2 linked regions of the Arabidopsis thaliana genome follow. The protein of the gene in region 1 purifies or fractionates together with the protein of each later gene. This does not show direct contact. Each region holds a gene or a part of one and is shown in the gene's direction. Other genes may lie near its edges.

Region 1 (6,219 bases):
ATCAGCGGCGTCGGTGGCTGTGGAGGAAGAGGAAGAAGCGGTGGTTGATTTACCGAAGTGGGTTAGATCGGTGGTGAAGGAGGAATGGACGGCAGAGGTTTTTGATCCGGAGCTTTTGAGGTATAAGAACATAGAGGAGGAGATGGTGGCAATGCTTCATATCGGTTTAGCTTGCGTTGTGCCTCAGCCGGAGAAGAGGCCGACGATGGCGGAAGTTGTTAAGATGGTTGAGGAGATTAGAGTTGAGCAATCTCCGGTCGGTGAGGATTTTGATGAGTCACGAAACTCAATGTCTCCGTCGTTGGCTACCACCGACGGCTAAGTTTGGTTTCTGTCTGTCGATGTTGTAGAATACGTATCGTTTGGACCTTGTCGATTTTTAAGGTTCTTGCTTAGAATCCCTGATTTGCGAACTTGTCGGAGTTTTTTTAGCCATGTTTTGTGTTTTCACTGTTTGTGATCGTAACGGGGTTGTGTGGTTTTGTGGATTTATGAAGCCGTTTCAATAATAAAACCCCATTTGTTACTCTTTAAAGCCCATTAGGCCCATATGTTTTAGATGAATTATTTTGCAATTGCTGCTATTTAATTATAGAACCTAAAACTCGAACGCCCATTGATTAGTGCTTCTAGAACGGTGGATGCTTCTGTGTCCACTGGTAATTGTCTTTTTGGTTGAAGAGTCAGCCCTTCGGATTTGACCTTTCGTGTACCTTTTAAGCCCATTGATTATGATTGGCAGATTAAGTAAATTAACGAATGGTCAAGCACATGATTAGCCAAATCATGACAAATAAATGGATTCCTTTTTCATTTCTGGAAGCGGAATCTTGTCTAACAATTTTTTTAATTGATAGTAATATTTTATGTTATGGGTTTCTGATAGTTGAAGACTTGAAATGTTGAACTTAAAAGTGAAATTACGCTTTCATAATTTCATTAAGCCATGATGGCAAGTTTTTTTTTTGGGTTGAGGTCAACAAGAGCAAGTTTAATGGTATCGAATAGTGCGTAACTGAAATAAAACTTGTTGAAAAATCATTCATTCACTATTCCTCGGCGCGTGAGGCCAATTTGACCCCTTCCCCCACGAAATTAAACTTGGGGAGTACTAAAAGTCTAAACCAGCAACGTCGCTTTTCATGTGCCTTAATCACACCCTTTTCTGCCACGTGTACGATCTGGGACCGTCGTTGTGCTCATTGACATTTGTAGATCCCTTTCTAGATGTTCATTAAAATTACTTAATTTATATCCAGTCCTTCTACTTTTAGTTTTTTGATACTTTAATCCCTGTTGTTTTAATGATACTTCATTCAGTATCCATCCAAAATCAAATTAAATCCATAGATTAAGATGTACATTTTTGAAAATAATAAATGGTTTATTATAATATGTTACTAAATTTATGGTATTTTTCGCTCTTGTATTGACTTTTACATGGATACATTAATTTTAATCTTCTTTGATTTCTGTTAATTTTCTTTGAATTCATTTTATACATTTATTAGTGAACTATTCTAAAAATTAACAAAATCATTTAAACCGACAAAAAAAACTTTAAAAGATCAGCGTATTATAAACCAACGGGGGATAGTTTGCATTAGGTATTGGACATCTGGGGGGTAAATAGAGCGAAACAAAAGTTGAGGCTTGTTTTTCAACATTTTCATTTTATTGTGTGCTATTTAAACTGCGTCGTATTTGGAGGCATATTCGCCGGTCAAGCGTATCAAATACCCAATCACGCGAACTTTTCTCCGCCTCTTCTCCACTCCAAAATTCTTCTCCGTCTTTCTCCCGTCACCGTCGAATAAAGCCTGAGATCTCCGAATTCTGATCAGCAACTATGCATTCAAGTCATCTCCTTCTCGAGGAACCGATCAGGATGACTTCAATCCTCGAACCTTCTAAATCAGTGAGCTATTTATTTCTCCTTCTCTCGCTCTGTGTGTTTTCTGTGGTTGTTTTGATTTCCTTAGCTCGTTGTTGATTATCGATTACGTTTGGATCTGTTGCGATATTTCATCCATTTTGAAGCAGTGAGAGATTTGTTTCGTTTGTCGTGGTTTTTGATCCGCTTGATGTTATTTCGCAGAGTTTCTTCCCGGCTTTGACTAAGATTGTTGGGACTCTAGGTCCGAAATCTCGATCCGTCGAGGTGATTGCTGGTTGTCTCAAAGCTGGAATGTCCGGTAATTGCGATTACTTCACTATTTGATACGTGATTCGCCTGGGGTTCTCTTTACTGGTTACTGATGTGTCGTTCTTTTTGCAGTGGCTCGATTCGATTTCTCTTGGTGCGATGCTGATTATCACCAGGAGACGCTGGAGAATCTGAAGATAGCTGTGAAGAGCACTAAGAAGCTTTGTGCTGTATGTTTTCTCTTTTCTTTGGTTTTGCTCTGCTGGATCTTATTTGGTAATGCTTAATACCATGAATTAAGATTGTGGTTTATGGCTTTTCCAGGTTATGCTAGACACTGTAGGACCTGAGTTGCAAGTTATTAACAAGACTGAGAAAGCTATTTCTCTTAAAGCTGATGGCCTTGTAACTTTGACTCCGAGTCAAGATCAAGAAGCCTCCTCTGAAGTCCTTCCCATTAATTTTGATGGGTTAGCGAAGGTTTCTATATATAACCCTTACCGTTTATTTTTTGGGAGAAGATGATTATTGCTTCGTGTCTATAGGGTTTGATGGATGTTATTGTTTGATGTATTCAGGCGGTTAAGAAAGGAGACACTATCTTTGTTGGACAATACCTCTTCACTGGTAGTGAAACAACTTCAGTTTGGCTTGAGGTATAAAAGAATTTTGCTTATGGAACCACTCTACACTGTTCTCTGGAATTCAAATTTAGACTTTAGATGTTTTTTTTGTGAGAAGACTAACCATTTAAACAAACCTTCAGGTTGAAGAAGTTAAAGGAGATGATGTCATTTGTATTTCAAGGAATGCTGCTACTCTGGGTGGTCCGTTATTCACATTGCACGTCTCTCAAGTTCACATTGATATGCCAACCCTAACTGAGAAGGATAAGGAGGTAAGTGTTGCTTATAATTTACATATCTCAGTGACTGCTTTGCTCTGTCTCTAGTAATATTCTAGCTTATCTGTTCGAGTGCTTTAACTATTTTGTTCTGTTTTGGTTCTCTTCTAGGTTATAAGTACATGGGGAGTTCAGAATAAGATCGACTTTCTCTCATTATCTTATTGTCGACATGCAGAAGATGTTCGCCAGGTCCATATTCTTTTTCATAATATATTTTTTCCACCTTAGAAGTATGGCTACTTCGTTTGGGTTCTTTACTCACTACTAATTCTGAGCTTCTGATACGCTTGAATTATCATTTTTGTGCCACAACACAGGCCCGTGAGTTGCTTAACAGTTGTGGTGACCTCTCTCAAACACAAATATTTGCGAAGATTGAGAATGAAGAGGTAAGTGAAATGCATTTATTTTGCCTTTACATGTTTCCTCTGCAACTTTTCTGTGATGGTGCTGTACTGCTGTTTATATTTACCGATGTGTATTTGATTTTAGGGACTAACCCACTTTGACGAAATTCTACAAGAAGCAGATGGCATTATTCTTTCTCGTGGGAATTTGGGTATCGATCTACCTCCGGAAAAGGTATGATGTTGGTCAGTCAAATCAATACGTTTGGGTCCAAACCCCTACGCACTTTCTATGTAGATTGGTGTGTGACTGTGTGTCTTATTAGACGATTAGTGATTTTCTGGAACGAAGTACTAAGTTGACCGAAAAACTTGTAGGTGTTTTTGTTCCAAAAGGCTGCTCTTTACAAGTGTAACATGGCTGGAAAGCCTGCCGTTCTTACTCGTGTTGTAGACAGTATGACAGACAATCTGCGGCCAACTCGTGCAGAGGCAACTGATGTTGCTAATGCTGTTTTAGATGGTATACTTAGTTTCTGAAATATGTATTTTGTACTGCTTATAATTTATAGGAGGGAATACATATTTGTGGATCATAGTTTTGGTCATAACTTTAAGAGGGTTTCTTTCCTTTCGCTTCCTGCAGGAAGTGATGCAATTCTTCTTGGTGCTGAGACTCTTCGTGGATTGTACCCTGTTGAAACCATATCAACTGTTGGTAGAATCTGTTGTGAGGTAGGCTTTATCGTACTGTTCTAAAGTATTATTATTTCCATCACCTTCTTAGTATCTCAATCATCTTAGCCATGGTTTGTCATCTGATTTCTCTTATGCATTGATTACTTGTTTATAGGCAGAGAAAGTTTTCAACCAAGATTTGTTCTTTAAGAAGACTGTCAAGTATGTTGGAGAACCAATGACTCACTTGGAATCTATTGCTTCTTCTGCTGTGAGCCTCTCTTTTGTGTTACCTATGTAACTTAAAAGCTGACAAGTTGCCTTTCAAGTTTTCTAACTTAATGGCTTAAATTCTGCTTGATATCAGGTACGGGCAGCAATCAAGGTTAAGGCATCCGTAATTATATGCTTCACCTCGTCTGGCAGAGCAGCAAGGTTCACACCATTCCTTCCAACTTAAACTGTTCGTACATTTAAATTCTAATGTAGCTGTCTAATAAATGTTTTATCCATATCGTGAAAGGTTGATTGCCAAATACCGTCCAACTATGCCCGTTCTCTCTGTTGTCATTCCCCGACTTACGACAAATCAGCTGAAGTGGAGCTTTAGCGGAGCCTTTGAGGTAAACTTTCATCCTGATTGTGTGAATTTTGAAAAAGAATTGGGATTTTCTAATGCCACTTGTCAAGATTCAATGATTATGGTTGTTACTTGCTTATGACTGCATATACTATTTGGCAATTGTCCCCATGATGCAAAGGAATAACAACTCTTAAATGTGCTTTATAATTGAAGATAAAAAAGAAAGTTACCCTTTGGAATAATGTCACCTCTTATAGATTTCTATGTATGACTAGAAAAGCTTTTGTCATATCTGAATTGCATATATGGACTTTCTTTTGATTATTGCTCAAACTTAACATCGTGTTTGTGCCTATTGTTGTCTCAGGCAAGGCAGTCACTTATTGTCAGAGGTCTTTTCCCCATGCTTGCTGATCCTCGTCACCCTGTAAGTCTCTATTGCATAGAATTTGATTCATTGCAAAAAGATTCTTGCTTGCAAATTTAGTGCTATAGTTGCAATTGTAACTTTAGTGGGGTTTGAAACCGTATTTTCTCTAATGTATTGTGAATCCTCTTGTTCAGGCGGAATCAACAAGTGCAACAAATGAGTCGGTTCTTAAAGTGGCTCTAGACCATGGGAAGCAAGCCGGAGTGATCAAGTCACATGACAGAGTTGTGGTCTGTCAGAAAGTGGGAGATGCGTCCGTGGTCAAAATCATCGAGCTAGAGGATTAGAAGAAGCAGAGTGAGTCGTTGTCTCGGTCTTTTTTGTTCTGTTACTAATCAATTTTATTTCCTTCACTAAAACTCTTGGTGCCGTCCAAGAAAAATCCTTGCAATCATTGTTTCTCGCCGGCTATATGCTAGATACCGGAGTGAAAATATATCTCCTGGGCTTTTGTTTTCGTATTTAGGAGATTGATGTTTCCAAGTTATGATATAAACCACTTTCCACTTTATGCATAATATCTCCATCCCCTAGTAACCATAGTTCTATATACATTGTTTTATTGAAAATTAATTTTATTGATAAGAAATCCAACTAAGAATAAATACGATGAGTATATATTATGAATTACAAATCTGCAAAAACGTGGAAGTTTTTGGAGTCAAGGGCGATGAGCCTAAGAGCTGCAATGGCGGCAGCAACAGACATCAAACTGAAGAAGACAACGTTGAGCCAATGGCATAGCTTTTGCAAAGTATTGAGCTTATTGTTCTTAGCCTTATAGTACATGTGGTTGGCTAGAATGAATGTAAGGGGGAATGTGCTCACTGCACCAGTGAGGCTCATGAAGTCCCCAAGGAACGGCAAGAGTGCTGAGAGAAGCGTACTAACTGCTATGTACCCGCCTCTTGCCATGATCCTAAACAACAAGTTCTTTAATGCCAATGGGTTTCCTTTGATCCCAAACTTGGTGTCCATGTACTCATATGTTGGACTTGCAAAAATCTACAAAAATTGAGTAAGAACGGATTGACTAACACATAATTCTTTTCTCGAAGAGAAACTTACGTGCAACGAGATAACGGATTGAAGGATAGCGGAGATGTTAGCAAGGGCTTTAACCCAAAG
Region 2 (5,102 bases), on another chromosome or scaffold:
GTGAGTCATGCCGGTAATGTTATATCCCTTTTCTATGTTCTCAGAAAGAGGAAGATGTCAGGTTTTGGACATCGTGTTTACAAAAACTATGACCCCCGAGCAAAAGTTATAAAAAAACTGGCAGATGAAGTGTTCTCCATTGTTGGTAGGGATCCTCTCATCGAGGTACTGTAGATCCTTGTGCTCACGTATCTCTCCTAGTATTTGGTTGTCAAAAAAATTCTTATATAACATGACTGTGGGTTAAATTTTGTTTTGACGGATGATGTTTTCAGGTAGCAGTTGCTCTAGAGAAGGCGGCACTGTCTGATGAATATTTTGTTAAGAGAAAGCTGTACCCAAATGTTGATTTCTACTCTGGATTAATCTATAGGTAAGACATTGCTGATTCATCTGACATAGACCCTGTAACCATTAAGTTCTTTACCTGAACCTTGTGTTGGTAATTGAAATGGGGGAAAAACACAGGGCAATGGGATTCCCACCAGAATTCTTCACAGTCCTGTTCGCAGTCCCGCGTATGGCTGGATACTTGTCACACTGGCGTGAGTCGTTAGATGATCCTGACACTAGGATCATGAGACCCCAACAGGTAAAATACATAACTTGTTTGATAGATCAAAAGGTTTATAGTTTGAGCTAACTGAATTGTGTGGCTGCATATAGGCCTATACTGGAGTGTGGATGAGGCATTACGAGCCAGTGAGAGAACGAACGTTATCAAGTGATTCGGATAAGGATAAGTTTGGTCAAGTTTCCATTTCGAATGCATCAAGAAGGCGTTTAGCTGGATCATCTGCCCTTTAGTCTCAATCCTAATACTCACCAATAAAGAAGAAAACATTGGGATACCTCTGGGAAAACAAGAGAGTCTTCTCAACAACATGTGTTGTTTTCTTTCTCTTATTCTTAAACACTTAATAATACAACCCTATTCTTATTGTTTGTCTGTTATTTTAAAATGTTATGATTTAATAATAATAATCTTGTTATAGGGAACGACATGTACTTTTGATAAATTGCGCTTTTATTCCTGTTAATGTTAATTTCTGAAGACATGTCTAACACATTGGTTTGGAAAATGTCAACCACCAAATCATATCATTTAGGATTAACTGAATGTTATTTTTAGGGTGAATATGTTATGCAGATTCCAAGTGATAACAATAAGCTAACCACTCATTGAACATCATATCATATTTTTTTGTACGGTATTTATAATTTGCCTGAAAGTTTCCTATCATTTTGCATTATTGCCAATAATATTTCCATTTCAAATGAGAACAATTGTGAGAAGTGTGAACAAATATAAAAGAAAAGTGACGTTAAATAACAAACCCTGGAGTACCTGACACTGATTAACAGAAAGAAGTAAGAAGCAACCAAAACAATACATAACTGTCGCAGAGACACATACTTAAAATTGGTTAAAAGCCACAAAACTCTGATTGAAGACAAAGAAGACACTGTAGATTCACGCCAATCATACCCACAAAAGTATTAAGACAAAAGTGTTACGTAATGAAATTATCAAATTTCCCCACTATAAAACCATGCATGCCTATATATCACTTTGAACTACAACAGCCACTTGGTTTCTTATTCGCTTCCCTTTCTTGAATTGTGATCTTTTTGAGGTGACAAATGGAGATTTCGGAGAGAGCTAGAGCTCGATTAGCCGTTCTCAATGCGCACTTGACAGTATCTGAGCCGAATCAGGTGTTGCCAGCGATCGAACCATGGTGCACATCGGCTCACATAACCGCTGCACCGCATGGATCGCTTAAAGGAAATTTGAAGATCGTCGATGAGCGTACGGGGAATGAATATCAGGTCCCAGTCTCAGAGCATGGTACCGTTAAAACCGTTGATCTCAAGAAGGTATATATAATGAGTTTTTATGCTGAAGTTATTTCTTCATTGTGGCCATTAGTACTACGAATAGATTGTTTTTTGTATATTGTGTGAGTGTGTATAAATGGATTTTCATGTTTGGTGTGAAGATAACGACAGGGAAGGATGACAAGGGGCTTAACTTATACGATCCTGGTTACTTAAACACGGCTCCTGTTCGATCTTCGATTTCTTACATCGATGGAGATGAGGGAATCCTACGTTATCGGGGATACCCAGTTGAGGAGTTGGCTGAGAAAAGTACTTATACAGAGGTTACTTATCTCCTAAGTAAGTCTTGATCATCTTGTATAGCTCATTGTTGTTGCTTAATTATGATCATCTTGATCATCTTGTATAGCTCATAGTCTTGCTTTTGTGTGGGTATTTCTTTAAAATTTTGTCTCCCTTAGTGCTCTAGTTTACTACTGCTTTTTTTGTTTTTGCATGCAGTTTATGGGAATCTGCCTTCTCAAAGACAGCTAGCTGATTGGGAGTTTGCGATTTCTCAGAATTCAGCTGTGCCACAAGGAGTATTGGTGAGTTTCTTCTACTCTTTCCTAACTTTCTCTAGATCTTCGAGGTGAGATGATTTATCTGAATGTTTTCACAGGATATGATACAGTCCATGCCTAATGATGTACATCCAGTAGGAGCTCTTGTCACTGCAATGAGTGCACTTTCCATCTTTTATCCTGATGCAAATCCGTCTCTTATGGTAAGTTACGTTTTTATAATCCTGCTTTCTTCTGAAAATTTCCACGCCGACATGGAAATCCCCATTTGGTGCAGGGCCTAGGTGTTTACAAGTCAAAACAAGTTCGTGATAAACAGATTGTTCGTGTTCTTGGACAGGTATTGTTCTGTCTGTGTGATTTGGTGCCTCAATGTATAACCGGACTATGAATTATAATATAACGTGTCTGCAGGCCCCAACAATTGCAGCAGCTGCTTATTTGAGGAAGGCAGGCAAGCCTCCTGTTCAACCTTTGAGCAACCTTTCTTATTCAGAGAATTTCCTCTATATGGTGGAATCAATGTACGTTATTGTCCCTCTTTGTTTGATTTGGAGATGGTAGCCATAAAACTGTGCACTTGTTTAGTCTCATCTTCCATTGATTACAGGGGAGATAGGTCTTACAAGCCTAATCCTCGTTTGGCTCGAGTGCTGGACATCCTCTTCATACTGCAAGCTGAACATGAAATGAACTGCTCTACTGCTGCTGCTAGGCACCTTTCCTCTAGGTACTACTTATCATTGGTTAGAGATTCATTTGAGTCTGCTATGAGATACTTTTTAATCAGCACATAAATCCTCTGTTTATGTAGTGGTGGTGATGTGTATACTGCTGTTTCGGGAGGTGTTGGAGCCATTTATGGTCCCCTTCATGGTGGTGCAGTTGAGGCTACGATTAACATGTTATCAGAGATTGGGACTGTTGAAAATATTCCAGAGTTCATTGAAAGCGTGAAGAATAAGTAACTCAATTCTTAGAGAGTATACCTAGAATGTGATGGTCAATATTCCATTAATGTTAACTCTTTTTATTCCAGGAAGAGGAGGTTGTCGGGTTTTGGACACCGCATTTACAAAAACTACGATCCCAGAGGAAAAGTCGTTAAGAAACTGGCGGATGAAGTGTTCTCCATTCTTGGAAGGGATCCTCTGGTTGAGGTACTCTGTATTCTTGTTGCTCACGTTTCCTTGTTGAATCCTTCATATGTATGATGAATTTGGTTTAAGAAAATATTTGGTGTATAAATAATGTTTTCAGGTAGGAGATGCTCTAGAGAAGGCGGCACTTTCTGATGAATATTTTGTTAAGAGAAAGCTGTACCCAAATGTTGATTTCTACTCTGGATTAATCAATAGGTAAGACATTGATTAGTTATCTAACAAATTCTGACTAATGAGTTGTTGTAACCATTGAGTTCTTTCTTTATTTGAATCTTTTTTGTTGGTAACTGAAATGGGCCAAAACACAGGGCAATGGGAATCCCATCATCATTCACCGCAGTATCACGTATCGCTGGATACTTGTCACACTGGCGTGAGTCTTTAGATGATCCTGACACAAAGATCATGAGACCCCAACAGGTAAAATACACCTTTAATATATAAGTGACTTTGTTTAGATAACATTGGCTCATGGCTAATAAAGACACTTTTTGATAGATCAATGAGTAATTAAGTTTTCTTTTTTGCTCATGAGATTATACATTATGCATAGATACATACACTCTTGGATATATTAATGACTTGAACCTTCTTCTTTTTTTGGCTCATGAGTAATACAATTTTTAATGGATATATGCAGTTTTTGAATAGATCAAAAGTTTTTTTTGGCACAGGTCTATACTGGAGCGGGGATAAGGCATTACGAGACAGTGAGAGAAAGAACCAAGCTGTGATTCGGATTTGGATCAGTTGGGTCAAGTTTCCATTTCGAATGCATCAAGAAGGCGTTAGCTGGGTCAAGTCTCGTTCCTATACTACTAATATGAAATTTGACTCGGAAAGCCAAGCGAATATACAAATATATATAAAGAATATATATGCTTATATAAAATATAGTTTGGGTAAACCCCATCCGACCTCGAGTTAGTAATACATGTGTGTGTGTCTATGTATGTATAAGTTGTCAAAATAAAATAAAAATATTTGTGTATTATAGCATGTTTTTAAGAATATGATGTTGAACAATAATCATAAAGTGATAAAAACAGTTCAAATCTAAATTAAATATAACCGAAACAGTAAGAAGATAGTAGACAACAAATCAAGATGAGATTGGTAATTGAACATATATGCAGCAATAATGACGAAAACCAAAAGGGTCTTCTCAACAATGTGTGTTGTTTTCTTTCTCCTTATAGTTAAAACACTCAATAATCTACATACTATTGAATTTGTTTTTCATTTGTTTGTCTGTTATTTTAAAATTTATGATTTAAAACATATCTTAAGTATAGTGGTTCTATAATCAATTCCATCTAATAATTAAGTTGGTATAGGAAATTAAGACATAACTTTTGATAGATATTGTGCCTTTTGTGAGGAAAGTTCTAAAAGAAGATCTTCTTATTCTTCTTTAGTTAATATAACACATTGCTTTAGTTCTAAGATTTTTTATATATCACACATTGATTCGGAATAATTAGTTAACCACCAAATCATATCCTTTTAAAAAAATGTCATACAATATAGT

The links. Proteins that work in one complex are often made in the same cells at the same time.
Region 2: the proteins of AT2G36580 (region 1) and CSY1 fractionate together in Arabidopsis thaliana (co-fractionation; one large-scale study listed by BioGRID). This does not show direct contact.

Annotation. Positions count from the first base shown.
Region 1 is NC_003071.7:15,337,404-15,343,622, forward strand, and holds AT2G36580 (Pyruvate kinase family protein), read left to right. Parts: upstream 1-1,718; 5' UTR 1,719-1,849; coding exon 1,850-1,918; intron 1,919-2,098; coding exon 2,099-2,195; intron 2,196-2,278; coding exon 2,279-2,376; intron 2,377-2,470; coding exon 2,471-2,626; intron 2,627-2,724; coding exon 2,725-2,802; intron 2,803-2,912; coding exon 2,913-3,044; intron 3,045-3,161; coding exon 3,162-3,242; intron 3,243-3,370; coding exon 3,371-3,442; intron 3,443-3,545; coding exon 3,546-3,635; intron 3,636-3,778; coding exon 3,779-3,923; intron 3,924-4,046; coding exon 4,047-4,135; intron 4,136-4,253; coding exon 4,254-4,349; intron 4,350-4,445; coding exon 4,446-4,513; intron 4,514-4,601; coding exon 4,602-4,701; intron 4,702-5,028; coding exon 5,029-5,088; intron 5,089-5,225; coding exon 5,226-5,378; 3' UTR 5,379-5,683; downstream 5,684-6,219. Other genes in the region: AT2G36570 (Leucine-rich repeat protein kinase family protein), read left to right, coding at 1-322; ProT3 (proline transporter 3), read right to left, coding at 5,719-6,096, 6,160-6,219.
Region 2 is NC_003074.8:21,720,269-21,725,370, reverse strand, and holds CSY1 (citrate synthase 1), read left to right. Parts: upstream 1-1,580; 5' UTR 1,581-1,644; coding exon 1,645-1,881; intron 1,882-2,003; coding exon 2,004-2,184; intron 2,185-2,346; coding exon 2,347-2,432; intron 2,433-2,506; coding exon 2,507-2,611; intron 2,612-2,685; coding exon 2,686-2,748; intron 2,749-2,822; coding exon 2,823-2,932; intron 2,933-3,018; coding exon 3,019-3,138; intron 3,139-3,222; coding exon 3,223-3,372; intron 3,373-3,447; coding exon 3,448-3,568; intron 3,569-3,668; coding exon 3,669-3,766; intron 3,767-3,879; coding exon 3,880-3,991; intron 3,992-4,245; coding exon 4,246-4,305; 3' UTR 4,306-4,598; downstream 4,599-5,102. Other genes in the region: CSY2 (citrate synthase 2), read left to right, coding at 45-165, 276-373, 469-592, 667-807.